Drosophila melanogaster: one gene and its partners. The protein of the gene in region 3 interacts with the protein of the main gene of each other region in a pairwise test. Each region holds a gene or a part of one and is shown on either strand. Other genes may lie near its edges. The genes, in order: CG4250, toy, AOX1 and Lim1.

Region 1 (5,742 bases), on a different chromosome or scaffold from region 3:
CGTGGAGCACCATCCTACCGGATCAACTTACTGTATGGCGGCGTTGCTCTGCCTATTCCTGTAAGTAGATCGCATTTATGGTTGCAAGTATAGCAACAAAGGTTTGTACATACATAATGTGTATGTAAGCAAACGGAAAAAGAAATGTTTTTACTAGTCTGCTATATCTGTGGCCGCAATTGTTTTGCTTCTTCCTGGACAAGCTATGAGAAATTGCTGATCGTGCCTTATAAGCTATATACTCTATTTCCCATCTCTATCCACCAGATGCTGGCCCTGCGTCTGCGCCCCTTGCTGCTGCAACTGTTGCTACAAGACCTCCCAGTACTGTCCCAACTGCAACTCCTGCTTGGGTTCGTTTTGAAGACGCAGCGAAAACACTCGCCGATTTCATATCATTTCATTTTATATATATGTATATATATATACATAACCAACTATACATACATATATGTATGTATGTTCATATCTCCTTATGTATCGACGGCGTCAATGTGGTGTCTTCATCACTTAACATACATAAAAATATGTTTGCTTAGTGAGCAAAATAAGCTGACAGCGAAAAAATAAACAAATAGATTTTGAAGCGAATGGAATTTTCTTTAATTTCTGTTTCTGGGTATCTGGCTACATTGTTGCTGCAGACAACTAGATTTGCAGAAAAAATAATGTGAAACTTAATTGTTCATACGTTTTTTTTTTTTGTTTTTGTGTACTTTTTGGCGGTCTTTTCCCGAAACTTTTTCGTAGCACAACTCTTTTGTGTCCAGCAATAAATGTTGATATGAAACTGTTTTGAACCGGTAAAATGTTGCTGGGACGAACCGGCATGTTGGCACAGTTTAAATTGATGCTAAGATGCTTCAAGATTACTGTTCATGCTATTAAATGAAATCACTGAAGTTCTTTGCATTATAATTGAATATTTAGTAAAATATTTGAATTTCTGCTAAATGTTTAGTTCTTAAGAAATGGAATAAAAGGATTTTAATTTAACTCAGCCTAGGGATACGCTGTAATCAATTTTAAGGATGTATATAAATATCACTTCCCAGTTAGGCAACATAATGTTGCTAACGGAAATACTTTTGGAAGTGTAGTGTCCCGCTTCGCGCCCTAAACTTCTGACCGCACAACACTTTCGCAGCCCAAACAGTGCGCATTAACTTTTTGTCTCTCTGTGAAATCGGAATTCTACTTTATTTATTTTGACAACGTACCCACCCATACAGATTGTAAGTATGACGGGAGAGATATATTATGCAAGCCTAGGATTGGGTCAAACATGAGCAACGGACTATTATAGTCAGGTCTAATTGGGTAATATCTGGTTGTTTAGATGTTTACCGCTGCTTTGCCGCTCCCCAAAAAATTTACTTTTGCTTGGGGGAGAACTCAGCAAAGACATACAGGACGACAGTAGGATTTCGGGGGGAATGTTAATCACTGGCGACGGACACACCCGCTGTTAAATAAGGATACTGTGCTGGGTGGTTTGCGCTAGTGAGAACATACATAAATAGATTGTGTTGATTTTGGATAGGACCAGACCGAGCAAGCAAGTTGCACCAAACGACGAGCAAAGATGATGGATGGAATCGGGGTTGAGCGGGGCTCAGACACACGCGGTTGTGCGATGACGGCGTCGGCACGAAGCTTGCCACATGGCACAAGAGATTCCGTGGCCCACGAGGATGACCTCACGGCGGCAGGAGGGATTGCGCAGCACCGTGGTGCCATCGACGGGAGATAAGGCGGATTACAGCTTGTTTTGCATGGCGGGTGTGCAATTAAAATCCCCATTAACCAGCCAATTTAATGCTCATGCACCAGCGGCACGCGACGTATTCAAGTTTTCAAGGTCTGCGCTGCAATCAATATGAGAGTTATTAGAGTTTCCTGTGCTTTCTTTCTGCAGCTCCGCCATCGAAATGTCCACTTCCGTTGGCCCGGAACCGTGCATCGTGGTCTGCCCCAGTTGCCGTCAACAGGTTACCACTCGTGTGGAGCCGAAAGCCACCACCAAGACTCACCTGATAGCATTGATTATGTGCCTTACCTTGTAAGCCATGTTCGATATTGATTTCTTAACATTCTGGGTGCATTCTCATTGAGTGATCTCTTTCGTGCAGCCTTTGGCCCTGCTTGCTGCCTGTACTGCACTCAATGCGCCCGGAACTCCGACCACCACTGTCCATCTTGCAACGCCTACATTGGCACCTACGAGCGCTGAGCAACTTCCGCCGGAAGTTGTTTTTTTTTTTTTGTCGTGGACTGCAGCCAGCAGCCGTGCCGAAATGCAGCCCCCATTACTTATCCCCACTTGATCTATTTTTAACTCTCTCACATTTATTACTACGCACTATTTTGATAACAAAACAAATCATTGTAGTGCCGGCATATGTATTCTTCAGCACACCAATAAAAGGGTTCAAGGAAGAAACGAGTGGATTTTACCTGGGGGTTGATTTGTTTTAGAGACAACGCAATTCTTGAGCAGAGTTGAGTATTTCTTATGTTTTCAATAAATATGCAAATTGTTGTTATATACGTGCTAATAGCATAGCTGGAAGGACCATTTCGGAAGGGTAAAAGCTACTGGTTTGTTTACCTGACAATGGAATACCCTACTAAGTGCTAACATTTCTGTTTTATTGGTAAGTTTTGATATTAATTAATTCATCATGGCTGAGCAATTTCTTACTAAAGCTTTTCATCCTGCAAAAAAAAAAGAACACTTACTCATGTAAAAGCCCTTATTCTGATAGCCACATAATATTTAACGGAAATCGCTTAGCAAGCCATCCGACATAGTAGGGCTATATAGAATTCGCATCGCGCCGCAACTCGAAAGTTCGCCGAGCAATGTTGGAGGAGCTCTCTGCGGTTTCAGTCGCTGTCGGCAATTCAAACGCGTAGCACACATCGGTCGGAATAATTAGAATGGAGAAGAACTTTCAATACGAGAATATGCAGCCTCAGGCTCCGGGTTTCCAGGCACCGCCCAGTTATGATAGCGCACCGCAGCAGGTCTATCCTCAGCTCCATCAGGGACAGGGAGTGATATTGCAGGGTGAGAATACAGAGAACTATGAATCAATCGGAAATAATGGTCAATTCTTCTGTGCAATTCAAACATAAAATATAATATCGCATATTATACGAAATCCAATCGTGCCTCTTTCAGCTCCACCCAATGTCCTGGGCCAATGTCCATCCGTTGCCACTTGTCCGAGCTGCGGCGTCCGCAGGGAGACGAAGGTGGAGTTCGAGCCCAGCACCAAGACCCACCTGTTGGCCCTACTCATCTGCATGCTGGGGTAAGTGCAGCCCGTTTGCTCCACCTGCCCGCAGGACTAATGGCCATTTTCAGGGGCATTTGCTGCTGCTGCATTCCGTACTGCACCGACTCCTGCCAGTCGGCCAAACACACCTGCACCAGCTGTGGAGCCTACGTGGGCACCTACAAGAACTAGAAGTGCTATCTCAACACCAAATATTACAGGGATAGATCCCACTTTGTATCTCCACACCTATTGATGGGATCAGATTTGGCACGAATATTCACGAAATACAACTCTGGTTCAAATCAATTGAATATATGTATGTAATTTTCGCATTGGTTTACTTTTCAAAATAAATTTCTAATCACACAAATTGTTGGCGATATATGAATGTTAACACTTTCGTATATAATATTAATAAATCCCGGAAATTTCTGAGGCGGGAATATATTATAGATATTTTTATCTGAGGTTCTGCATCCTACGCCCTTTATATAACTTCATTCACATTGTTGATCTAACAATCGCTGCCTCTTCTTGAAACTGGATATATATATATATATATATGTATATTGAACAACTTATGTCAATGAACAGTGGAAAAAGGTTTGTAATTTAATACCTAGATTTTATATTTCCCCTCTTCGAATTAAACACTAAACAAAGGAATAGGGAAGAAACAAGGTAATTTGATCGCTTATCCGTTTATTTGATTACAACTTTTTCTGCAATAATACCAATAAAAAAGATGGGCAACAATATTTAGTTAATTTCATATAATTTAAAAAATGTTGGCAACTAGTATCCAGATTAATACCTGAAATGATGCAAATTCGATGTCCAATTTTATTAACATGTTTATATAAGTAAGTTATTATTCAAGCAAGCGGATTTCATATTTGCCGAGATTCATCAGCTTCGCTGATTCCAGCAGTCAGTATTATCATTTCAGTTCAGGCAAATTGAAATGAAATGCGAGTTCAGTAAATTGAACTTGAGCTGCGCTCTAGACGTCAGCGTGAAATGGAAAACCCAGCGTAATGTTATGATCAGGGTAAAAACCAAAGAATTCCAACTCCTCCTCCTATTTCACAAACATCGCGATAATTCAGACTTCTGTACAACGATAGTTTGTGAAACGTGCAAATTCGAGTCACGAGTGTCGAAAGAAAGCGTTCTATGAGTTATGAAGACTACCATAGATGGATGTGTTATAAGATACTGGTAAATTATAGTGCTTACAATGTACGATAGATATACGATAAATAACTAATATCGCAATTATATTCCAGCAACGAATGTTTGCTCAAAAATTGGGTGCAAAGTCAAAACAATGTAGCAAAAAACATAAAAATTGATATTTGAAATTTACGCAGTTATCAACTTATTAAATCCATTCGAATACACAGTTTGCAGTTTAAAACTGATAACAGAGTGTATAAGTATATATGTAGTAGTATTTTTAAATTTCTCTGATACGCTCATGTGTATGTTTCGTTGACTTCATGAGAATTCCATGAGTCACCCAATTGCAACATGCAACCGGCAATCAAACTGCATTGCACAAAAGATAGTTGAAGCTTGGAGCTTCCAGTGAAATGTCGACAGATTCGAACTGTCCCAACTGCGATTCACATACCATGGTGAGGAGAAGTCGCCTGGCTATCTCGCGATTCAAGAAGCTTAAGATGGATTTTTGGTACTTTAGTGCACATGAGAAGATATTACTTCAACTTCAACTGAAATGTTTATATTTGCTAGTGCAATATGCTGCGGTCATCGATATTGTGGAGTCGGCATTTATGAATCCTACTACAAATGCAGTTCCTGTGGCTGGAAAGGCGATCCTAACCGATCCCCCTAAGATGGCATACGAATCTCAATCTGAAATAAAATAGGAATGCTGTTGCATTTCTGTTTACCACAGAGTGCAGATGAAATATATATACACGAGCTTTTGAGCTTTGGAAATGCACTTTGAAAAATTCCAAAGCAGCAAGCCTATACATGAACTTTAAGTGTAATATGTTTTAAGCAATAAAATACGTATTTATTTTTCCAGATGTCTGGAGCTCGGCTTGTAAAAAGAATTTAAGATAAAAGTAAGGCCTAGGGGATTTTATTTCCGGCATCTTGAATTGTTCGATATACTAGAAATACTCTTGAGAAAAGCTTGTTGATAACAGTGGGGCCTTATCAGTTCAGCTTGGACTTGTTCCTAGAATTCGGGAGTACAGTTTTGAGGCTTAATAAATAGAAGATTAAATGAACTTAGTTCTGAAAAGATGCCACGCAAAAGCACACCAGCATTCAAAGGACGGTCCGCGGAGGTTTACAAAAGTTTATCCGAACCGAAGGCTACAATTCCGAATTCTGGAGCAAAAGATACGTCCCAAGTATGTCTTAATTCCGAGGACTTCAAGTTGTCGTGGAGCCAAAGATTGTGGTTTAATACGCT
Region 2 (7,073 bases), on a different chromosome or scaffold from region 3:
CGCGCAAAGCTGTTACTCACGCATGTGAAAATTGTTTGACTTATATTTCATTTCATTATTTTATCTTGTCAATTCCAATACATTTGACAATTAAAAGTTAAAATATCTACGCTGCGCTACCACTAGCTGAGGTGATCAACTATAACCTACTCTCTTGTGAAAGAAGCAGCGCAAGTTTGTTGACCCATGTTGCCACGCCCACTCTACCGCCCACAAACCAGAATATCATGAATATCATATCATCATACTAGCTGAGTAACGGGTATCTGATAGTCGGGGAACTCGTGTTCTCTCTTGTTAAATATAAAATATTACTTAATCACATATTTTTATATAACCAATCCAAATTGAACGTATTGTCGTCTGCCTTCACTATTAATGTAACTGTGGAAGTATGCGAAGGTAACTACTTCGACTTATGCACTAAGCAAATGGTACCGAAAGAGAAAAAAGAAACTTGATTAAATGAAAGACAGGTAAAAATACCGAGATGGAATAAAATTTTTCCCGGCTTTCTCATACCTGTTACCTAGCTAAATTAAGCCACCTCTAAGGGAGAGATTCGCAGAGCGCCAAGCCCTCTATTCACCTAGCGACCGTTTTCATTTCGTACAAGTCTATTTATATATGATTATTAATTATATTTATACATTTATTTTAGCGTTTATTTTATCGAAATATTTTTCGGAAGTCTGGGCCTGTCAGCTCTGGGCGGTTTTTGGGCAAATCGATAAAAATGTACAAAACTAATACAAATATGATATAATTTCAAAACATTTTTCAAAAGTGTGGGCGTGGCGGTTTTGGGCGATTTGTGGGAGTTGACGATATGGGTCAACAAACTTGAGCCGCGTCTATGTCTCTAATCTATATGCCTAATCTCAACCTGTTAGCTTATATATTTCCTGAGATTTCGACGTTAATACGGACGGATAGGGCTAGATCGACTCGGCTAGTGGCCCTGACCAAGAATACAGATACTTTATGTAGGCGCTTCCTTCTGACATTCTATTTTACACATTGATAAAGATATTGAAATTAAAAAAACATCAAACAAAATGTAGGCTTTAGAGTAGACGTGGCTAAATTATTGTTTAGCATATCGATAGAGACTCTACTAGTAAGTAGGTACGCAAGAAAAATCAAATATCATGAGTGCAAAATTTAATGGTTATATGCATTTGTTGCAGCCCAGACACTACGCTAAATAATATAAATTAAGGTATTTTCACACATTCCAGGAAAATCAGATTCGTCACCTTTACAATGCGCCATGAAATTTTTGGCACACGCAATAGGAATGACAAAAAGGCGATTCAAGAATATGCCCCTTTGAAGAAGCCCAGCACACTGGATGCCGGCACTACAATAATGGAAATTGTGGTGGAAGGGGAAATAGATTCGTTGATGCGTGTGACTTCAAAAATCCAAAAAACGTGTCGGACAGGATGTTGAGAGCAAGTAAGCTCAGTGGTGGCTTTTTGGGGTGGTTTAGGTTTTGAATGCTGTTACTTGGGGGTTTAATTTCTGTAAATAATAGATATCGAAAATGTAAATACAAGCAGAAGTAGCAGAACAGACAATTTATGTATTTACATATTTAATATTTTGTATAGATATACAACAAAAAATTTACAAATACTAAATACTCTTTAAAGTTAACAATACAAACTTCATCTCAAGCCCAAGTCACGCAGATCACGCTACAGGTAAGGCAAGGCATTTTGAACTCCTGATACTGTTTGACCTTCCTGAATACGTTTTTATTGCTGTTCAATTTTAAATTTAAATTAAAACTAATAAAATGCACTCATAGTTTTTATATGTGAATGTATTTTTGTATATTAACACAACCGACATCAGAAATATAATAATACTTAACGTAAAGATGGGGAATTGATACAGGGCAATAAATAACTAGTCGTTCTATACTTTTTTAAAACAAAGGTATGGCAAACGATTAGATTGTATGTTATTCAGAATGATCAGATTCTTAAACTTTTGGATACATGGTTATATAATCAAATATTTTAGGGATTAAGTGCATTAAACATGATAAAATATCATCACAACCAAACATATGCATACAATGATGAATAAGACTTACACATATACACAACCATCTATGTTTATATAAATTCAGTTTTATTTTCCAGCGTTATTATCGCTGAATCCATAATGTTAAAGTTGCCCACGATATATTTAACAACCAACCAAAACTTCAAAAAGATTTTCAAGCGGATAGGGTACACTTTTCTTTCTTCCATAGCCGTCTCTTTCCTACGCAACTCCTATTTGCCAGATGTGCGCACGATGGATTTTGTTGTAATGCCTCTCTTCCTCATGTCTCTATAGCTATCTCTTTTCACGGCACGGAAAACAGCAACGTTGTTAGCTATCGCTGACTGCAAATGAAAAGAGACAACTAGAGCAACGCCGCCAAAATGGCTGGCCGATGTGTTAGCCGTTGCTCTTGCCAGTGTTTTTTCGCATGAGAGCTCATTAACGTTTCGCTTGGCTAAGTGCGCACCTCGTCACTGAAACCAGTTAGCAAAAGAAATTTTTGTTCAAGCTTAAACCGATACCTACGTCACTATTCGATCATTTTGAATGCAAATTATTCCCAGATTAATAAACTAGGTCGCCATCCGTGGCGCTGCCGCCGGGCTGCGGACCCGTACTTTCGACGGAAAATATCGGGACCATTTTCATAAACGATCTATGATACAGTTTTAAAACACTTTAACGCTTTCCATCGTGCACACTTAAAACAAAACTCATAAAGTGAAAGTTCATATCCTGGCAAGTAAAAAGTGATAAATGTTAAAACGTCTGAAGTGATAGTCTGGAGTTTGATTACCAGGTGAAGAAGATAATATATATGGGATGTACAAAGTTGGCAACGAAGCCCCCCTTCTAACAACAATGAAAAAGGGAGTAATCCTACTTTCTCACTTTCAATAATAAACATACGCACGTCAGCCACCGTCGAAGTCTCCAACGCCGCATTAAAAATAATTAATTATGATGCTAACAACTGAACACATAATGCATGGGCATCCCCACTCGTCAGTCGGGCAGAGTACTCTATTTGGGTGCTCCACGGCGGGCCATAGCGGAATAAATCAGCTGGGCGGCGTATATGTTAATGGCCGGCCACTGCCCGATTCAACGCGTCAAAAAATTGTCGAATTGGCTCATTCCGGCGCACGTCCTTGTGATATTTCAAGAATACTACAAGTGTCCAACGGTTGCGTAAGCAAAATTTTGGGCAGGTGAGGCATTTCGAGTGCATAATGACATTTTCTTAACTAAACAGGAACTACGAAAGTAGCCTCCAACAAACAAACTGCTCAGCTAAAATTTCTGACTTCGGACTTTATTATATAAGCACTGCGTTTAAACCAGGGAGTGATATTAAATTTGGAAAATATGAAAGATTCGATTATTATACCCGTTACTCAAAGAGTCAAAAGGTATATTAGATTTGTTGAAAAGTATGCAACAGGAAGAAGGATGCGTTCCCGACCATATGAAGTATGTATATATTCCGTCTGTCCGTATGAATGTCTCGATCTCAGGAACTATAAAAGCTAGATGGTTGGAATTAGGCATACTGATTGTAGAGATATGGACGTAGCGCAAGTTTGTTGACCCATATTGCCAACACTTTTAAAAAAAGTGTTGATTTTTAATCGTTTTATTGTTTGTCTTCTATCGGTATACCAAAAACACTTTCGCCACACCCCTTCTTACACCAACAAAACGCAAAAAACGGATCCCAGAAAAATAACACAATTTTGCTTTCGTATTTAGTCGTATAGTCGGGGAATTCGACTATAGCATTCTCTCTGTTTTTGGTAAGTTAATGGCCTTACTAACGTTTCAGTAGTTTCTATATGCATAAGATCCGAATGCCTCCTAGTCTATTTCGTATCAACTAACCAATGATCGTAAGACTGCGTATGATTAAAGAGAACTTGCTTAGCATCTGTTTTGCGAGTAGCCAAATTTGTTTGTTGGAAGAACCTCTTTACGGCGTTATTGGTGTCCGTATTGCAAGTGCTGTCCATTGTACAACACTAACAAATACATTTCTCCCCTGGCTTCTAATTAATACTTATGTTATTTTGTTTAGCATATATTCTATATTCAATCCTATATGCCATTCGCAAAATATTTATATACCGGCTGCATTTAACTAATTTAATGTCTACAACTGAAAGTGTTGACTGTTGACGCTGAGGTTTGCTTATAGTTTTTATTATCTCGACGCTAAACATTTCGACGGCGTTTAGCATTGTCACCACTAATGAATCGCTGCGCTTTTCTTTTTACAAGTTGCAGCTCGCATTTACAAGCACTGCACTCCGAATTGTTTTTTTGTGCTCATCTAACATTTTGGAAAGAGGATTTTTCAATCAATACTAGAGGAATGTCCTTTTTTACTTTACTATAAGCACTGCTCTTCCCGAGAATATTTACGGCTTTCGACTACTAAGTTACATAATTGGAACTAATCAGATATTAGCAGTTCTATTATAAATACTTTAGAGTAAGAAAATCAATGATTTTCGTAATATGAAAATTTGAAATCAGGCCCCCATCCCAATCTCTCATTGTGTGACTCTGATTATTGAAACACATTCACCATTTATGATCATAATACATAAAAATCAAAATCATATCTTAAGAAGAACGTATTTTTAAATTCTCTGTTCTTTGCAAAATAAGAAAATATACAGCCAAATCTAAATTGATTGTATATTCATTGTTTATTCTATTATCTACTTTTAATGACTACTCAGATAAAATGTAAATAAGTTTATTTTTTTTAGATATTATGAAACTGGATCGATAAAACCTCGAGCTATAGGTGGTTCAAAGCCACGAGTAGCTACAACCCCGGTTGTGCAAAAAATTGCAGATTACAAACGGGAATGTCCCAGCATATTTGCGTGGGAAATACGAGATCGACTGCTATCGGAACAAGTTTGCAATAGTGATAACATTCCAAGTGTAAGTTATATTTTGCGCACATAATAATATTTCTGCACGTGCTAATAAAAGTTCTAACATACCATTTTAAGCGTTTTCGATCCTTAAAAATATATATGTATATTCATGATCAGGATCTAGGACCAGTCCGTACCTCTCTTTCTGTCTTACGTTAAAAATTTTAGAAGTTTAAAGCTGAAAGATTGTTTCAAACTAACTTTCTAATAGAGCCTTATAGCTTTAAGCTATTTATAGTTGTTTTCCTGTTCTCTTAAAAACTCTGATCTGACTAATAAAAGTTCTAACATACCATTTTAAGCGTTTTCGATCCTTAAAAATATATATGTATATTCATGATCAGGATGGATCTAGGACCAGTCTGTACCTCTCTTTCTGTCTTAAGTTAAAAATTTTAGAAGTTTAAAGCTGGAAGATTGTTTCAAACGAATTTTCTAATAGAGCCTTATAGCTTTAAGCTATTTATAGTTGTTTTCCTGTTCTCTTAAAAACTCTGATTAATGATACAGTTACTCGTAGAGTAAAATGGTATACTGGATTCGTTGAAAATAACATTACAGGTAGAAGACAGCGTTCGCGATTTTATAAAGTATATATTCCTAAACAGTCCATACAAACGCTGTGATCTCGGGAAGTAAAAAAGCTGAGATATTATGCATGCAGATTCTAGTAAAGCAGAAATGTGTCATTACAGAGTCATTACACAGAAGCCAAAACGTCAGGTCCATCCTTTGAAAATGTTGTTCAATATTTTTTATTGTTTTTCATTGCAATTTTTATCGGTACACCAAATGAATATTGAAAATCTGTTAAAAATCATGCAACTGATAGAATGAAACCTACATCGTATATGTACACAAAACTAACCCGCTACTCGTAGAGCAAAAGGGTAATCTTGATTCGTCGAAATGACGTGTAACTGGTAGATCTGACCATGCCCGTCTGTCCGTCCGTATGGCCGTATGAAACGCTAATAAAAGTTAAGATAAGGCATGCAGATTCCAGAGGCAAAAACGCAGCGTAAGTTTGTTTAACGATGTTGCCACGCCCATAGCCCACAAAAAACTCCCACGCTCACACTTGTACAAATTTAAAAAATTCTCTTTTGTTTAAATTAGAATCACCAGCTGAGTCGATCTGGCATGCCCGTCAGTCGCCCGCTTGTAACACTGGATCGATCTAATCATGACTACCTGTCCATTACTCTGTATAAACGTCGGAATCTCGGAAACCATATTATTTGGGCGGTTACAGTACTATTAATGAGCTAAATTTTGAAAATATCAATTTTCAATAACGCAAAGGAAGCTAGCTTCGGAAATATGAAGTTTTGAGATATTTTGCGTTTGAGAAAGGGCGTCACGAGAGAAATCCCAGTTTAAGATGGCTTTAATAGTTTCAAAGGCTATAAGCAAGGGTGTACAAGGATTAAATAATTTTGGGACAAACCCAATTCGTTCTTTTTAAAATAGATTATGAAAAGGATATTTTCGACAGTCTCATGGCATTTTCTGGGGTTTATTTGTTTTTCGATAGTATGCTCTAGTTATAATAATCAGTATAAAAACATGTCCATTATTCAGGTAAATAAGGGTACATTTTTTCTTTTTAGGTTCTTAGCTAGGTTAGGATTAGGTTTTGTGGCTTAATGACTTGTATCGTTTTTAAATCCGGATGTATGGAAGCAAGTACACAGTAAAGTAATGATATGTATTAATGATATGTGCTCACAATTATCTCCAATCATTGCCCCTACGAGTTTGTATATACATTAATTACAATAAAAATTCCCATTTTAGTAAAAAAAAAACAAGAAAGAACCCGATACTCAGCTAGTGTGAATGCGAACGCGAAATTTCATCATTTTTCTGGGATCAGAACAGTCACACCCACACTCTTGAACAATTTTTAACTTTTTTCTCACTTTATTCCCCAATATCAATGTTGATTTTTAATCGTTTTATTGTTTGTCTTGCCAATTTCTATCGGTATACCAAAAACACTTTCGCCACGCCCCTTCTTACACCAACAAAACGCTCAAAACGGATCTATCGATA
Region 3 (9,864 bases):
TCCAAACAATAGATCTTGCCCAGAGCGCAGAATGTTCATGCTTATGTGAATGCAGGCTTCCTCATTGAATGGCAGGACATTCAGCACAGGATTGTCCACTCCGCACGCATATGTTTCGGCAACATTCGACCAGATTACATACACGATGACCAAGTGGAGCAACTGCTTCCTGGCAGGGATCTGTACGATCCCGCCACAGTTGCGCAGATCTTTCAGGAACTCCCAGCTAGCTTGCAACCCGAGGAGCGTCCTCCGGAGGCCTCCCCGGAATATCGCCAAATGCTAGCCTGCTCCTTGCTTTACAAGTTTCTGCTGGCCACCGCACCCAAGGAGCGAGTTCGGGAGCGTTTTCGGACTGGAGGCTTGCTACTGGAGAGACCACTTTCCTCGGGAAGCCAATCCTTTGAGACGATTAAAAAAAACTATCCCGTCACGCAACCAGTTCAAAAACTAGAAGGTACATCGTTTAAGAAAACCCTTTTCCATACGTGGTATTATTATTATCGATTTGGATTTCCAGGTCTCATTCAGTGCTCTGGCGAGGCCACGTATATGAACGATCTACTGACAACCTCAAATGCCGTCCATTGTGCGTTTGTAACTGCGAAGAGAGTGGGTGCCACCATTGAGCAGATCGATCCTTCTGCTGCCCTTCAGTGCAAGGGAGTGGTGGCCTTCTATTCGGCCGAAGATATCCCAGGCTCCAACAACTTCGTTCTGGTGAATCAGCTTACACCTGAAGTGGACGAGGTCTTTGTTGCCGGGCGAGTCAAATACTTTGATCAACCGTTGGGAGTCATCGCAGCTCTCACCCATGATGCGGCTGTCTATGCTGCCACATTGGTTGTGGTCACATATGCCCGGGATCAGCGAAAGATCTTCACGACCATGAACCAAGTGTTAGCGGAAAAGCAAACCGATCGGATTGTGAGCACGAAGAAGGATACCGTGGAACCCCTAAAGCTGCCTCCTCTCGCACCTGGCGATGTTCTTGGCAGAGGGATCCTGGAGCTTGCGTCCCAATACCACTTCACTATGGAACCACAAACAACCATCGTGGTGCCGCTTGATAACATTCTGCAGGTATACTGCGCCACCCAATGGATGGACGCCACCCAAGGAGCGATTGCCCACATGTTGAAAGTTAGTGTGAACTCCATTCAGCTCCAAGTTAGACGAGTGGGTGGAGCGTATGGTGCAAAGGTCACTAGAGGCAATATAGTTGCTTGCGCCACGGCTTTGGTGGCTTCAAAGCTAAGGAGACCTGCCAGATTTGTCCAGACCATAGAGTCCATGATGGAGACCATTGGCAAACGATGGGCCTGCAGATCGGACTACGAGTTCCGAGCCAGAGCCAATGGATCCATTATCATGTTGAGTAATAACTACTATGAGGATTCCGGATGTAATCTAAATGAGAACGTCGTTGACTTCCTGACTCTGCCAATTCTGAGGAATGTTTACAATCTGACTGACGCGAACTATAGGACCCAAGGCAGTGCCATCAGAACGGATGCACCCAGCTCCACTTGGTGTCGAGCTCCTGGTTCCGCAGAGGGTAAGTCAAAAACCATTTAAAAAGGTTTACAGTATTTACATATACAATATCGTTCACATTCACAGGAATCGCCATGACGGAGACCGCTTTGGAGCACATAGCCTTCACCTGCCAGCTAGATCCTGCCGACGTTCGTTTGGTAAATCTTCAGCCCGGAAATAAAATGGTGCAGCTGCTGCCAAAGTTCCTGGCCTCCACAGAGTACCACAAGCGGCGGGACCAGATTAACTTATTCAACTCCCAGAACCGATGGCGCAAACGAGGTCTGGGATTGGCCCTAATGAGTTTCCCGCTGAACACGACCGTGGCCTTCAACTATCCGGTCACAGTGGCCATCTATCATGAGGACGGGTCGGTGGTGATCTCTCACGGAGGCATTGAGATTGGCCAAGGAGTGAACACCAAGGCGGCCCAGGTGGCAGCATTCGTGCTGGGTGTTCCGTTGGACCAGGTGAGAGTCGAGGCCAGCAATACTGTAAACGGAGCCAACTCCATGCTGACGGCCAACTCGATGACCAGCGAGATGATCGGATTGGCAGTGAGAAAAGCCTGCGACACTCTAAACAAGCGACTGGCTCCGGTGAAGGAAAGACTCGGACCTCGGGCCTCCTGGGTGCAGGTGCTCCAAGCGGCCTTTTTGCAGTCCGTGTTTCTCATCGCCACGGAATCTTACCGGTTGGGGGATATCCCCAACTACAACATCTTCGGGTTGAGTCTCACCGAACTGGAACTGGACATTCTGACGGGCAACCATCTGATCCGCCGGGTTGACATCCTAGAGGATGCCGGGGAAAGCCTGAGTCCACATATAGATGTGGGTCAAGTGGAGGGCGCTTTTGTCATGGGTTTGGGATACTATCTCACCGAGCAGCTGGTTTACGATCGTCAGACAGGTCAGATTCTGACAAACCGCACCTGGAACTACCACCCACCAGGCGCCAAGGATATCCCGATAGACTTTCGCATCGAGTTGCTCCAGAAGAGTCCCAACCCCGTGGGCTTTATGCGATCCAAGGCCACGGGTGAGCCTGCTCTGTGTCTGGCTGTCGGAGCTCTGTTCGCCATGCAACACGCCATCCAGTCGGCCAGGAACGATGCGGGTCTTCCGAGGGAGTGGGTTCGCTTGGGGGCACCAACGACGCCGGAAACGGTCGTCCTTAACTCCGGAAGCCAGGTGGAAGCATTCGCCTTGTAATGAAATGAAGTTCTGGCTTAGATTTGGGTATTTTTCGATATTTCATTTGGTGTACTGCTTCGATCTTTTGATTTCTTTATCTGTATTATGTAATTTATCTTACTAAATAAATATAGAATCGTGTGGAAATCGTTTGAAGTTTTGAAGAATCGTTCTCCTGTTATATAATTCCTAATAGAATTGTATACATATGTACATATATGTTTTGAAGAAATCTTTCGCTCATAAGGCACCACTCTGTTTATAGGACTAGTTCCCCTTATTCCGAACATAATCTCGCCGTTTTGTTTAGAAATATGAGCAAAACAAAAACGTCGAAACAAGCCGTTTACTGATAAAGCTTTCAGTTCCAAAACCGAGGGAGAGTATTTGAAACCGGCAGACGATAACGTTTCAGAGTGCTACGATGATCTAATGCTGAATTGTGAGCGCAGTATATGGAACATGGTAGTTAAGAGCGGGGAGCAGGTGAACTTGAACTTGGAGAGGCGGGAGTCTCTTTCGAGGGCCGGAGAACCACTATATATATGGGGCTACGGAAGGCCCATACCCTCAGTCGCTCGCAGTTCGGCGTGGAATCAAACGAGGCTGACAAGTGGACTCATTGCCACATATTGTGAAATAACATAGTTTCCAGAACCCACTATAACCATCCAAATAATTCTGAACACCCGCGTCAATTGAAGGCGAGAAAGGCTGCAATTAATTTCACAACGATTCCCGGACGGCTTTTAAGTGATTCAAGGGACTTATATAATTCACAGATAATGGCTGGAAGAATTACAATCAACGGCACCAGCCACGAAGGTGTGTATGCATGTGTGGGCAGTTAATTGCCTATGGATTGATGGGGGCTGGCATCTACAAGATTGCCGAGACAACGAACTGGAACACCAGGGTCGAGAAATTCGACTACTAAATACCTGCTAGTTAGATGAGAGTTGCGACGACCTTGTGAAAAGCTTGGTGAATTACTTCTGAGTAAAACATGGCTAGACTCGTTTCCAAAACAGTTGTAACAATATTTTATAGGGTTCCATTTCATTTTGCTAATTTATTTTCATTAGCCCATCAGAGCACTTCTACAAACTGAGAGGTACTGAATATCAATTACAAGCATTTTCTTCTAAAATATTTAAATAATAGCTCAGCAGCAATCGTTAGCTCATAAGAAGCAGATATCGCAAACAATTGTTCTTTGACATGTTGTGAGGAATTAGGCTACTCGATAAGATAACACCCGGATTGTGTAGACACTTATGCCTCCGTTTGCTTGTGCCCCCTAGTCAACCTGTCTGCCCTGCCGGCGGATATCTCGCTGAACACTTTCATCCGAGAGTATGCCGGATTAACGGGCACGAAGTTCATGTGCCAGGAGGGCGGATGCGGCGTCTGCGTCTGCACCCTGACTGGGATTCATCCGGAGACCGGAGAGCTGCGCACCTGGGCGGTCAACTCGTGCCTCACGCTGCTGAATACGTGCTTGGGCCTGGAGGTGACCACTTCGGAGGGATTGGGCAACAAGCGGGTCGGCTACCATGCCATCCAGCAGCGACTGGCCAAGATGAACGGCACCCAGTGCGGCTACTGCTCGCCGGGAATCGTGATGAACATGTACGGCCTGCTGAAGTCCAAGGGCGGCAAGGTCACAATGGAGGAGGTGGAGAACTCCTTTGGAGGCAACATCTGTCGCTGCACTGGCTATCGTCCCATTCTTGACGCCATGAAATCCTTTGCCGTGGACAGCAACATCCAGGTACCAGCTGAGTGCATTGACATTGAAGACCTGAGCACCAAAAAGTGTCCCAAGACCGGCCAAACCTGCTCCGGCAGCTGCAAGAAGCAGCAGCCCAAGGGCAGCCAACTGTATCCGGATGGCAGCCGCTGGAGTTGGCCAGTGAGTCTGGGTGACCTCTTTGCCGCTCTGCAGGGAGCAGTCAAAGAGAAGCTGCCCTACATGCTGGTGGCTGGAAATACGGCCCACGGCGTCTACAGACGTAGTCCGGACATAAAGGCATTCATCGATGTTTCCGGCTTGGCGGAGCTCAAGGGTCATAAGCTGAGCGCAGATAACTCATCCCTAACTCTCGGTGGAAATCTGAGTCTCAGTGAAACCATGGAGCTGTGTCGCCAGTTGGAGAACACGAAGGGCTTCGAGTATTTGTCTCAGGTGTGGCAACACCTCGATTGGATCGCTAATGTTCCAGTGCGCAATGTAAGTCAAATCCAAGAGGTTTGAAAGCCCTCGACCCTTATCTAATCAGGCCAACAATGAAAACACCTTGAGCACCTTGTGTTTATCAACCCATTTCGCATTAACCCAGGCTGGCACCTTGGCGGGCAATCTGTCCATCAAGCATGCCCACCCGGAGTTCCCCTCGGATGTGTTCATCGTCCTGGAGGCCCTAGATGCTCAAGTGATTGTCCAGGAGGCGGTGGACAAGCAGCAGACTGTCAGCCTGGCCAGCTATCTGGGCTCTTCCATGGAGGGAAAGATTATCCGTGGTCTGGTGCTGCGCGCGTATCCCAAGGAGCGGTTTGCATTTGACTCCTACAAGGTGAGTGCAAATTATGGAGTATTCGAAGTAGTGAAGTGCAGTACAATTTCTTATCAACGAAAGTAATGCGACTTTACAAATGTCTTGTAAGTTTTTAGAAATGCGAAAAAAACGAGCAATTACGACACTTTGGGGTGATTATCTCAAAGCTGATAAGATAGCCATTCTTTCATTTACAAATCATTTAAAATTGAATATATTTTAATTTTACTCTTTTAACAGATTATGCCCCGTGCGCAGAATGCCCATGCCTATGTGAACGCTGCTTTCCTCGTGGAGTTCACGGCAGACGCCAAGGTGAAATCAGCTCGCATTTGCTTCGGTGGCATCCATCCCGAATTCGTGCATGCCACAGCGATTGAAAACTTGATTCGGGACAAGAATCCCTTCGAGAACGGATTGGTGGAGAAGGCCTTCGGGCAGCTGTCCACCCTGCTTCAGCCAGATGCCGTTCTTCCGGATGCTTCACCCGTCTACCGACGCAAGTTGGCCTGTGGTCTTTTCTACAAGTTCCTCTTGAAGATAGCGGCTCAGCGAAAGCAGGGTTTGGGCAGTCGATTCGTCACAGGCGGTTCTCTCCTGAAACGTCCCGTTTCAAGTGGCCAGCAGAGTTTTGAGACCTTCCAGGAGCACTACCCGGTGACCAAGGCAACAGAGAAGCATGAGGGTCTGATCCAGTGCTCTGGCGAAGCCACCTACTCCAACGATCTGCCCACCCAGCACAACCAGTTGTGGGCTGCGTTTGTCATCGCGAAGAAGGTGGGCGCAAAAGTCACCAAGGTGGATACGCAACCGGCTCTGGATCTACCCGGGGTGGTGGCGTACCTCGATGCCAAGGACATTCCGGGACCGAACTACGTTGGGCCCAAAATCCGGGACCAGTTTTTCTTCCCCAAGGATGAGGAACTATTCGCCACGGGAGAGATTAAGTTTTATGGTCAGCCCGTGGGCATAATCCTAGCCAACTCCAATTCGCTGGCCAATCGGGCAGCAGAGCTGGTGAAACTGACCTACGAGGGCGGAGCGGAAGAAATACTACCCTCCTTGAAGGCAGTGCTAGACAAAGTTGGATCCGAAGCTGGCAATAACAAGCGGTTGGAGCAGCCCATCAAGTCCACCATCGATGTCCTCCAGCTGGAGGAACCCTTTGATGTGAGCTCCTCCGGCCAACTGGATATGGGACTCCAGTACCACTACTACATGGAACCGCAGACAACAGTGGTTCTGCCCTTCGAGGGCGGCTTGCAGGTGTACGCTGCCACCCAGTGGATGGACCTAACCCAGGACACCATCGCCAATGTGCTGAACCTCAAGTCCAACGATGTTCAGGTAAAGACGCGTCGTATTGGAGGAGGATATGGAGGCAAAGCCACACGATGCAATCTGGCTGCTGCCGCTGCTGCTCTGGCTGCTCACAAGCTGAACAGACCCATTAGATTCGTCCAGTCCTTGGAGTCCATCATGACCAGTCTGGGCAAACGCTGGGCCTTCCATTGCGACTACGACTTTTTCGTTCAGAAATCCGGAAAGATCTCCGGTATCGTTAGTCGATTCTACGAGGATGCTGGATATCTGGCCAACGAATCACCCATTGGTCATACCGTTTTGCTATCCAAGAATTGCTACGAGTTCAGCGACAACTACAAACTGGATGGCTACCTAGTCTGCACGGATTCGCCATCGAATACTCCGTGCCGTGCTCCTGGCTCCGTGGAGGGTATTGCAATGATGGAAAATATCATCGAGCACATCGCCTTCGAGACTGGAGTGGATCCGGCTGACGTGCGATTCGCCAATTTGCTACCCGCCCATAAAATGGGCGACATGATGCCGCGATTCCTGGAAAGTACCAAGTACAGGGAACGGAAGGCGGAGGCTATAGCCCACAACAAGGAGAACCGCTGGCACAAGCGCGGATTGGGTTTGTGTATCATGGAGTACCAGATCGGTTACTTCGGACAATACCCCGCTACGGTGGCTATCTACCACAGCGATGGCACCGTGGTGGTTTCCCATGGAGGCATTGAAATGGGTCAAGGTGAGTGATGGTCCTTGGGTAAAGAAGCTGGTCTTAAACTTTTGTATCTCTTTGCTAGGCATGAACACCAAGATCTCGCAGGTGGCGGCCCACACCCTAGGCATTCCGATGGAACAGGTACGCATCGAGGCCAGCGATACCATCAACGGAGCCAACTCCATGGTCACTGGAGGGGCTGTGGGCAGTGAAACCCTCTGCTTTGCAGTCCGCAAGGCGTGCGAGACTCTAAATGAACGATTGAAGCCCGTGCGCGAGGAGGTGAAGCCCGAGAATTGGCAGGACCTCATCCAGGAGGCCTACAACCGCAAGATCAATCTGATCGCCAGCGATCAGTGCAAGCAGGGCGACATGGATCCGTACTCCGTATGCGGTCTCTGCCTCACCGAGGTGGAGTTGGATGTCCTCACCGGTAACTACATTGTGGGCCGAGTGGACATCCTGGAGGACACTGGTGAGAGTCTGAATCCCAATGTGGATATTGGCCAGATCGAGGGTGCATTCATGATGGGCTTGGGCTACTGGACCAGCGAGCAAGTGATTGCGGATCCGAAGACGGGCGAGTGTCTCACGAATCGTACCTGGACGTATAAGCCACCAGGAGCTAAGGACATACCCACTGATCTGCGCATCGAGCTGCTCCCCAAGAGTCCCAACAAGGCGGGCTTCATGAGATCCAAGGGTGAGTATCTATCTACAGCATGGTTGTGAATCCAGCTAACTGGGACTTCTTTATCCTTAGCCACCGGAGAGCCAGCCATCTGTTTGTCCATCGCAGTCGCCTTTGCCCTGCAGCAGGCCCTGCAATCAGCTCGCGATGACGCCGGCGTGCCCAAGTCTTGGGTGACCCTCACCGCCCCGATGACCCCCGAGCACCTGGTCCTCCACTCGGGCACCGAGCCCAGCCAGTTCAAGCTGAACTAGGTGGAGAAGAAGAATGTGGACTCGTATCCCTGACCGTGGGACATGGCACGTGGCCACGATGGGAACGCTCCGATAAGCACGCCAAGATAACCTGCACTTACACCCCCACTTAACCTGGCGGATCCGCCGACTCTAGACTAGCCGACATTGTGTTGTCTGCACAATAAATTAAAAACTTATCCAACGCTTAATCCAAATGACATTCATTGCCAGCCAGCCGTCGGCCTGGGTCAACAGAAGCCCCTGTCCAGAGCTCCAGGCATTCGGAATTTACATTTTCCGGGCTCTTGCTTAATGCTTAACACCTCAACACGCGGACACACCCCGCCAAGAGGTCTTCATTAATTTTAACATAAATTGTTGTATAGAAATTTTATGCCACACGAAGCGTTAAGTGTGATCTGGCCAAAAGGTCGAGGGCGGGGTGGACGCGGAAAAGGAAGGCGGGGGCAGCAGTTGCCTTGCGGTCGTGGCAGAAGGACCTAATGGATTTTTCAAATATCGCCAACTGCTGTGCCCTTAATGAGCACATCCCTGACGACATTGTTCAATTGACACACTTATAATGAATGTGGCAGCTTTAATTGGGGGAGTTTAAGATCCCTGTGGTTTCGGGATATAGCATACCAGTTATAATTAATAATATCAAACGAGGTATGGTTGCTACAGTTAAACCAGGTAGCGCTATACATATAAGCTCTCTCACTTCCCAAGAAATCATATGTTTATAAACATTAGCCGCAGCTTTTTATGTTCCTAGAAGAAACTGTTATTACAGTTAAATATACATACTTTGTCTAGGCAATAAATAGGCGAATTTCCCCTAGCAAAACCTCCAGACTTCACTAGAAAATGGAACTAAGTGGGTTCATATTCGTAGCACTGCTCAATTTCATTCCCTTTGGATGCAGCAAGTTGGTTGATTTTTGCCAGCTGCCTTACTGCGGTACAAATAACCTAGCCTGTAATAACCCATCGGTGAGTGGAGTACAATCTGAAGAAACTACATCCGTGAAATTGTGTATTTGCTCAGAAATTCAGCGTCATGTGTCCACCGAATGCCAGAACTCTTTCCATGTCGACCTACAGGAATTTATTACTAATTGCCTTCAATGAGTTTCGCAATTATACGGCGAGCGGGAAGCAAAAGTATCTCAAGGCAGCGGCGGCACGAATGTCCCGATTGAGTTACTCAATGGAACTGGAGGACTTAGCCCGACTGGCGGTCATCACGTGCTCCACGCACAAGTTTTGCCTGAACTCACAGGAGTTCTATTACGTGGGTACCAATATAGGTTCCACCCACTATTTGGGTAACTTGAACGACTACGAGGACCTAGAACTCATGTTGCGGATAATACAGCATTGGACCAGATATGCGGATTATGTCAACATTAAAATGGGTGTCTATATGCCGACAACTTTGGGGAAAAGGTGAGATATATATTAATAAGCCAATTAATAGTTCAAACAGCTAATCATTGCATCTTCAGTGGAATAGCAAAAGCCCTACTACTGATGGCAGATCGGAACACCCATGTGGGCTGTTCGGCTATGAGATTCACCGTGCACTCCGTCCACAACTTCGTCTTCT
Region 4 (7,429 bases), on a different chromosome or scaffold from region 3:
GTATTTAACAATATTTTCACAAATTTTGTAAAATTTGTAATTTTTTTTTTTTTTTTCAGCCACTATTCTCTTGACCGCAGCTGTACACCCCGGCCCCCAAAAATATCGCCTGCCAAAAGTTTATGGCGCGTCGCGAAGTTCGTCGCGCTTTTCTTGCCTTTCATGATTTTCTTGCTTTTATTGTTGATTTTGTTGTGGCCATCGACCTGCCACCCCCACTGCCGCCCCATTTAGGTGGGCGGTGCTGTTTCTGCAGTGTGGGCGTGGCAGTTAGCTGCGGCTTATCACGGCCTGTCCAACATTTTCTTACCGCTACTTGTTTGTTTTCGGTCGAGTAGTCGTTTTTTTTTTGCAATCCCCTCACCAAAAGTCCGAATATTTTGGTACCTGGCCAGATTTAAAATATTTATTTTTCCTTTAAAACCGACATCTAAAGTAATATCTAAAGTAATAGTGACTGTGGCTTGGATTTGAACAATTATTCGTTAAATGGGGTTCATTTGATTTCAGAAAGAGTATTCAAGAACATTGTTTTAAAACTGTTGTGCTCCTGCTTGTTTTTCGTTGCTACTGCGATTTTTTGATAACTGACATTTGTTGGCAAAGGTGGAAGGAAGGAGGTGGGTTAAGTGGAGATGAGGACAGGACGCCAAGTGAAGCTAGAGGGGATGCAAAAAGGAAGCAGAGGAACCTGAGCAGTTACAGAAGCCAAAGGTAAAGGTAATGTTAAGGCAAAGCCAAAGGTAACGAGCGCGGCTGAATGAGATGACAGATTAGGGATCACAATGTGCTGTGGGTGGATCCCCAGCTTGGCTCTTATCCTCTATTCCTTATACCCAAGACATTCTCCTTTTCCTTGTGTTCTTTTGGGGTCTTGAATGTAAATAACTTGTTGCTTGCCAAAAAGTGTATTATAAATATCTTATTCCTCGAGAGTAGTTATGTAAGTGTTTTTGCTTCAATATCCTTTTTATTCCATTCCTATTATGTCCTCATCCCTTTTGCTCTTACTAAATTTGGGGCAAAGCAGTTTTCAAGGCCGTCAAAGATCAACTGATTTCGATAACTTTTCGATAGCGCAGAACAAGTGAAAAGTGACACGCACACGCAAAAACAAAAAGCAAGCACTTCACAGCTTAACACCCTAATGTGCAATATTTTTGACTACCCCACATCCACGCACACAGCAAACGGCGCTCTTTAACCCACCACAGCCCCCTTATTTTGTGTCGAACATCTTCTTCTTCCTATCGAAGTGTGAGTGAGAGGGAAGACCGTAAGGAGTGAATGAGAGCGGGAGCCTCCTCCCCGACCTTTATAATGCGTTCTCTTTTACTCTCACTTATTTTATGCATTTTTTTTATTTTATCCAGTTTTGTCTTTTCTTGTTGTTTGTTTAGATCTTTGGCATTTTTGCAATTTGAATCCTATATTATTTCTTATGGTTTTTATTGGTTTTTGTATTGGTTTATTTTTACGATAAGTGTCTTGCTATAGATTTATCTAAATCGAAAGCTTATTAAAATTGCATTTGTTAAAGAAAAAGAAAAAGATATAATATTTTGCACAATTTTAAATGTTTTTTTCTACTAATTTTTTGTTACTTGCAATTTATCTAACACTTTTTCTTTGCTTTTTTTTCTTCGCCTCCGTTTTTTTTTCTTGCTGTCTCCAGTGCGTTAAAACGCCAAAGGGGCGTCCCTCTCCAGCTAACGCCCCCACCACCCCCCGCCACTAGTGCTCTCCCTTTCGCACTGCTAACGACAAGTGACAAACACAAGTTGCAGAAGAGGCAGCCGAACAAAAACAACAACTAAAAATAAAAAAGAAGGAAAGAAAAAAGTTTTTGCGACCAACAGTTGACAGTCGAAAAGCATTTGACATTTTACCTTGGCACGCACACAAGCACCGCCAAGTGCGAAAGGGACAAAACGCGGGCAAATGTCACTTTGAAAAATGCCATTGGCCCGGCCAGCGAGTGTGAGCGAGAGGGCGCGACGGCCGGAGAGCGTGAGAGCGAGAGAGCGCCATTTTGCGCATCTCTCAATGAAGCAACAATAAAAAAACCAGTTGCTTAGCAACGCCCCCTCTAACCGCAAAAAAGAGAGCTGGAGAGCAGGAGAGCCAGTGTTGCAACAACAATGGGCAAAATGGAAGGGCAACAACAGCAACAAAAACCAAAAATATCCTTACAGGAACAACGCCAGCACCAATCTTGAGAAAAGGATCAAAAGCCCAAGATCAACAGAAGAATGTGTGTAGAATTTAAAAAAAAAGTGAATTTTTGGATTTTTAAAATCTTATGAATCTAACAAGCATCTAGTAAGGCTAACTAAATATTTAGTTATCATGCTAAATATATCAAAATTTTCAAAGAACTTATATTGTGTATTATCGAACAATCACCTAAATTAAATCCTAAAAAAGGAAAAAAAATTAAGATTTCTTGATATTTTTTTCCAATTGTTATGAAATTGTATATCCTTTTCCAAAATATTTTTAATAATAATCTAGATATGCATACCAAATATTCTAGTCATATTTTTTCCATTTTTTTAGAAAACGTTTTGAAAAACAATTTTTTTATTTAAGAATAATATGATTTCTTCATGCCCAACACGAGAGAGCCAGGAGAAGCGACGGAAGCGAGAGCGAGAGAGCCTGCGACTCCATTGCAGCGCCGCCAGCAGCGCAGTCGGCGTCGCAGCAGCCCCAGCTCAACATTCGCTGCATCTCGCTCTGGCGCAGGCGAAATATGCGAGCACTGCTTGCCGCATTCGGTAGCACGAGTGCGAGCGATGCGCCTGCTAGCATCTCGCTCGCACCCAGGCGCGCCATTCGTCGCCGCTTCGGCTCGCCGTTCGTGTGTGTGCGTGTGCGCTCGGCTGGCAGCTATCGGTAATCGGGCCGTCCGCTTTGCCGTCGCGTTTGCCGTTTTCCGTTTTCAGTTTTTGTTTGACGTTCGCGTGAAGCGCCCGCAAAACGCAAAGCGCACGAGGCAACGCTCGAAAAAGGAGCCAACGCAGCCGTTTACCGTTAGTCAGCTGTTTACCGTTCCGCCGCGAGATCGAAAACCGAGAATTTTTGCCGTTGTTCAAATTTTTTTGCAAGTGAGAATCTTGAACAACAAGAAGAATATACAACACATAAATACAACAAAACCAAGGAATCGCCGAAAAGCCGATAGTGCAAAGTGTTTAAAAAGAAAAGAATCAATTTCATATACAACAACTAAAGAAATACTGGAATATAAGGCATAATAGAAGCGGAGGAAGTTTCTTCAACTCAAAGAGGAGCGGAATTTCGCGCTTTGTTTTTGTTTTGCCAAATTTGCCGCCGGCACACACGTGCTATCCCCCTCTTGCTCGCACCTTGCCACCCAGTCTTTATGTGCGTTAACCGTTAAGTGTGCAGTTGGGGCCCGCTCCTATCTTTCTCTCCCTCTCTCTCTCGCTTCCGCACCCGCACACACACACATATATCCACACCCACGCGCGCCTCGTTCACATACGCACACACACGCGGGACTTAACCCATTGACGGCCCCCCCAAAAAAGCAGTCACTCTTAACCCCCCCGAAAAAAAGAAAAACTCCATCCCCCCGGCATCAAGATATTCGACAACAAAATTCTCACCGAGGCCTCAAAAGCGCCCCTGAGGGCCGTCGCACTGGCGTCATATCTGGGCGACGGGTTCGCCGCCCTCGGTAGCCGCGCCCCCCCGCCCAAGGACCATCTGATGGCGTTCGGGGCGGTACTACACACCAGCCAGCACAATATCGGTAAGTGATCGTTTTGGGGAATTTAGGCATTAAGCGGTTAAGGGTCCAGGAAAACATAGAAAATCTGGGGGGTTTGCAGTGAGAATCCCAAACAGGCAAGTTCTTAAGGTTAGTCACATATAGGATACTGCAATCGAAATCATTTCATCCAAGAATCAGCACTAAATCTTTGAGTTGTGCTTGTAGTTCTATAGAATAATATCATTGGGAAGTCAAGGATGAAACATTTTACAGATCGAAAATAGAAGTTGTTTACATCTAATCTAGATTAAGTAATATTCATGATGTCCTCTATCGAAATAGAATGAAAACACCTGTTTGTAGGCTTCGTATAATATTTAAATTGTTTATAAAATCTGTAGACGAGTGATCAATGACACCAATGACACATTTCAAAAATACTTTTAAAAGATGGCAAAGAAGTGAATTTTCGAAAAATGTACTGACAAAAAAGTGGAATCTATTAAAAATGGCTTGATCGCTATGCCGACGGGATGTGGTCTTAGATTTTCAACTGGTGGTAGAAAGACATAAGAAAAGTAGGGTCGAGTGCGGTCGAAAGTCCTTAAAAGGAAGTCAACCCCTTGAAGGATCGGCGAAATGCGATCCCTAGGATGGTGGGTTAATACAATACCGCTTGCCCGCAATGGGTTAAGATGGCCAAGGAGTTTTTAATGGCGACGGCTGGGCAGCAGCAAAGTTTTTGCACTTTTGAACTTGCTTCCCGTTTTTAGGGGACCGCCGGCGAGGAGGAGAGGGGCGTCTAATGCCCCGTCGTCCATCTGCCGTCTCTTTTTCGCATTACCATTTTGTATGCTTTTGAAGTTCTTGTTCATCTGTTTTTGTTTCGGTTTTGTTTTTCCTCCTCTTGTTTTCCCGTTCGTTTTTGGACTGAAAAACTTTTGCGCAGTTGTCAAAGTTTTTCAGCTTCTTCTTCTGCCGTTCTTCCTCTACCCCATCTCATTTTTTTTGGCTTTTGTTTTATTTCATTTGCTCTCTGTCAAATTTTCACTTTTGCTGACTGTTTAATGTCAGGAACAAAAAAAAAAAAAAAAAAAAAAAATAGTAAAAAGGGAGCAAAAAGTTCAGAAATGAAGGCTCCCCTCTAGTTTTGTATTTTGTGATTAGTTGGTGAGGAATATTTCGTTTATATGTATGTATGTAGCTCCCCATCAATTTGAATAACTATAAAAAACATTTATAAACTACAAAATTAAGGATCTGCAGAGATTTAGAGACCGAACACTCTTTTCGAGTATATTTTGGATTCTTATCAAAAGAAATGAAATGAGAAATGATTTAAGTACATATTAGTAAAAATGTAGTAAGGTATTTTATACCACAAAAAATTTTTCAAAAATATTCTAAAATCCTCAATAGCTTCGTTTTCGAACCAGTGAGGTTCGATGGAAATTGCAACTGCAAATTCTCCATTTAACTTGTTGACATTGGACATACAGCGGCCGACACCTTACTTCCCCCATAAATTGGCTAGAGAACTGTTGGGGTTTTTGGGCTTGGGGCCTGCAGCTCCGGGGGCGGTTCAAGTCAAAAGCTGTCGACATTTGACTGGAAAATGGATGTTCAGGAAGCCGTAGACCCGCACAGTGGGCCACCTTACGACGGCGGACTGATGCCAAGTGGAGTCGTAAAGCTGCCAAGCTTTCTTCTTCCTGCTTCTACTGTTTCTCGGTTGGATTTTTTTGTTTTTGTTTTATTTCTCGCTCATAGACATACCCATTAGCTAATGACTAAGTGTTGGCAGTTATGAACTTAACTTGCATTTAGTTGGGGAAAACTACAAAGTAAAGTACCACTGAATATAACTCGGCTTAATGAAGATAACTTTTCCGCGCAGTAGCTGTATCTTTTTTCGAAAGTTCGTAAAGTAATTTGGAATCAGGAAAGATATCCAATTTTTTATGGTATAGTTAAGGTTTTGAAATGAGATGGAAAAAATGTATTGGAAATACTTAAGATAGGATACCAATTTAGGTCGTTGAATCTTTGGTAATGTGTTTATTCTTAAGGAATTTAGTTTTCAAAACTTCAATAGAATAGGGTAACCCCTCGTCGTTCAATTACCAATATCATCGGCCATTTCTCTGGTCGACTGCTCATTTTTCTTCGCATATATCTTGGTGGCAGCATCTTTTCAATTTTTATGTTGCTGCTAGCGAACACGGCAGCAACATGCAGCAACAGCAACGTGCAGCAACAGCAACGTGCAACAGCAGCAACGTGCAACAGCAGCAGCAGCAGCAACAAAAGCTCAGACCGGCAACGCCTTCGACAAAAGTTTGCGCTGCTGTTCATCAACATTTATGACTGGCCACAAAGGAAGATCATTACGATCCCGAAGATTACGATTATGGGGTGTAGTAGGCTCATGCATACATATGTATATACTCGAATGTATGCAGGCAGGATGGGATCGTGGGGTCTGTGGCTCCTCTGTTTCTGTGCAACATTATTTCCGTGGAAGCTTTTGTCCAAGGAAATGTGATTTTTCTAGCCGTTTTTAGACCTGCGCTGTTGGACATTTACGACGACAGCAACGTGGACTCAACTGCAGCTTCAACTTGTCCATCAACGGCTCTATGGATCCTTTCGTTGATTTATGGGGCAAGAAGCAAGAAGCGTAGACACGGCAGCCGTGCTTATGCAGCTGCCGCATTTAGCAACTTCAAACTGCAAGTCGACAGTGAGGGGTTAAGGTCTAGTTCCAGGGCGTGGCACGGCCCATAAATTGCCATGCATAATGAGGCGTTGAGACCCTCTCTTCTTGTCAATATATTGTGCGATTTTCACTGCCTTCTCCGGTGGTCGGTCGCCAAACTATCGCTGGCTGGAACAAAGAAACACACACACACACACACACAAAATTGGTAATTGGAAACCCGTTTCTCGATCAACGCCACTTTCAAATTAAAAGTCATTACAATAAAGTCGCTCGATCCAAGACGCAGATTGGCGGAAGTCAGCCGAAGAGTCTAATAAAACAAAATCGAGGCGGTTTTAGAACTTTGTAGAACAGCAAACTAAATTATACATCTTTTCTTAGCGTGCCTTCAGTTTTTATATGAAGAAATCCATTATTACAAATCTAAAATACTTTTATGTTTTTAATTTGTTTACGTAGTTTAGGCTTAAACTGATAACCTGCCATTGTTGAGAAATTGCAATGCCTTTATTTGAATATGGACAATATGAAATCCTTTACCATAGTCCATTTGATCGCCCCCTCTCGCTCTTGTCACCGCTCTCCATCTCTGTCTGACGCCTGTCGCCGTCTCTGTCTCCGTGTCTGTTCCTGTCCTCTGTCCCTGTCTTCTGTCCCGTGCTATGAGAGTTATGAGGGGCCCCCCAACTGTTGGGAACTTTTCAATTTCTGCAATCCGGGGCTTGGCCCAAACCAAAGCGAACCGAAACCGAGCCACAAACTGAAACTGAAACTTGGCCGATGGTATAAGGCAACGTCGTCGCCTGTGTCCCCTTTTGCAGCTCTGCCCCCTTGCAGCGCCACCCCTGCAAAGAGAAGTCCCCCCGCCACCCCACGGACCGACCCTTTTTTCCCCGACTGGGAGCGCTTTTGGGTCGAAAACTGAAATAGTAATTCACATTCATGGACTTCGGTGTCTGGGCCAT

Evidence for each region.
Region 1: the proteins of AOX1 (region 3) and CG4250 interact in a two-hybrid assay, tested with the Drosophila melanogaster proteins (one large-scale study listed by BioGRID).
Region 2: the proteins of AOX1 (region 3) and toy interact in a two-hybrid assay, tested with the Drosophila melanogaster proteins (one large-scale study listed by BioGRID).
Region 4: the proteins of AOX1 (region 3) and Lim1 interact in a two-hybrid assay, tested with the Drosophila melanogaster proteins (one large-scale study listed by BioGRID).

Annotation. Positions count from the first base shown.
Region 1 is NT_033778.4:22,660,802-22,666,543, forward strand, and holds CG4250 (uncharacterized protein), read left to right. Parts: upstream 1-2,890; 5' UTR 2,891-2,943; coding exon 2,944-3,112; intron 3,113-3,187; coding exon 3,188-3,320; intron 3,321-3,373; coding exon 3,374-3,476; 3' UTR 3,477-3,673; downstream 3,674-5,742. Other genes in the region: CG42565 (uncharacterized protein), read left to right, coding at 1-60, 268-364; CG42867 (uncharacterized protein), read left to right, coding at 4,883-4,983, 5,046-5,148.
Region 2 is NC_004353.4:987,228-994,300, forward strand, and holds the start of toy (twin of eyeless), read left to right. Parts: upstream 1-2,497; 5' UTR 2,498-3,024; coding exon 3,025-3,275; intron 3,276-4,838; coding exon 4,839-5,019; intron 5,020-7,073.
Region 3 is NT_033777.3:15,530,732-15,540,595, reverse strand, and holds AOX1 (aldehyde oxidase 1), read left to right. Parts: upstream 1-3,303; 5' UTR 3,304-3,520; coding exon 3,521-3,560; intron 3,561-4,039; coding exon 4,040-4,968; intron 4,969-5,077; coding exon 5,078-5,311; intron 5,312-5,533; coding exon 5,534-7,349; intron 7,350-7,407; coding exon 7,408-8,028; intron 8,029-8,088; coding exon 8,089-8,270; 3' UTR 8,271-8,459; downstream 8,460-9,864. Other genes in the region: AOX2 (aldehyde oxidase 2), read left to right, coding at 13-457, 521-1,558, 1,624-2,753; CG31296 (uncharacterized protein), read left to right, coding at 9,123-9,248, 9,304-9,704, 9,764-9,864.
Region 4 is NC_004354.4:8,801,316-8,808,744, reverse strand, and holds the start of Lim1 (LIM homeobox 1), read left to right. Parts: upstream 1-2,940; 5' UTR 2,941-3,738; coding exon 3,739-3,781; intron 3,782-7,429.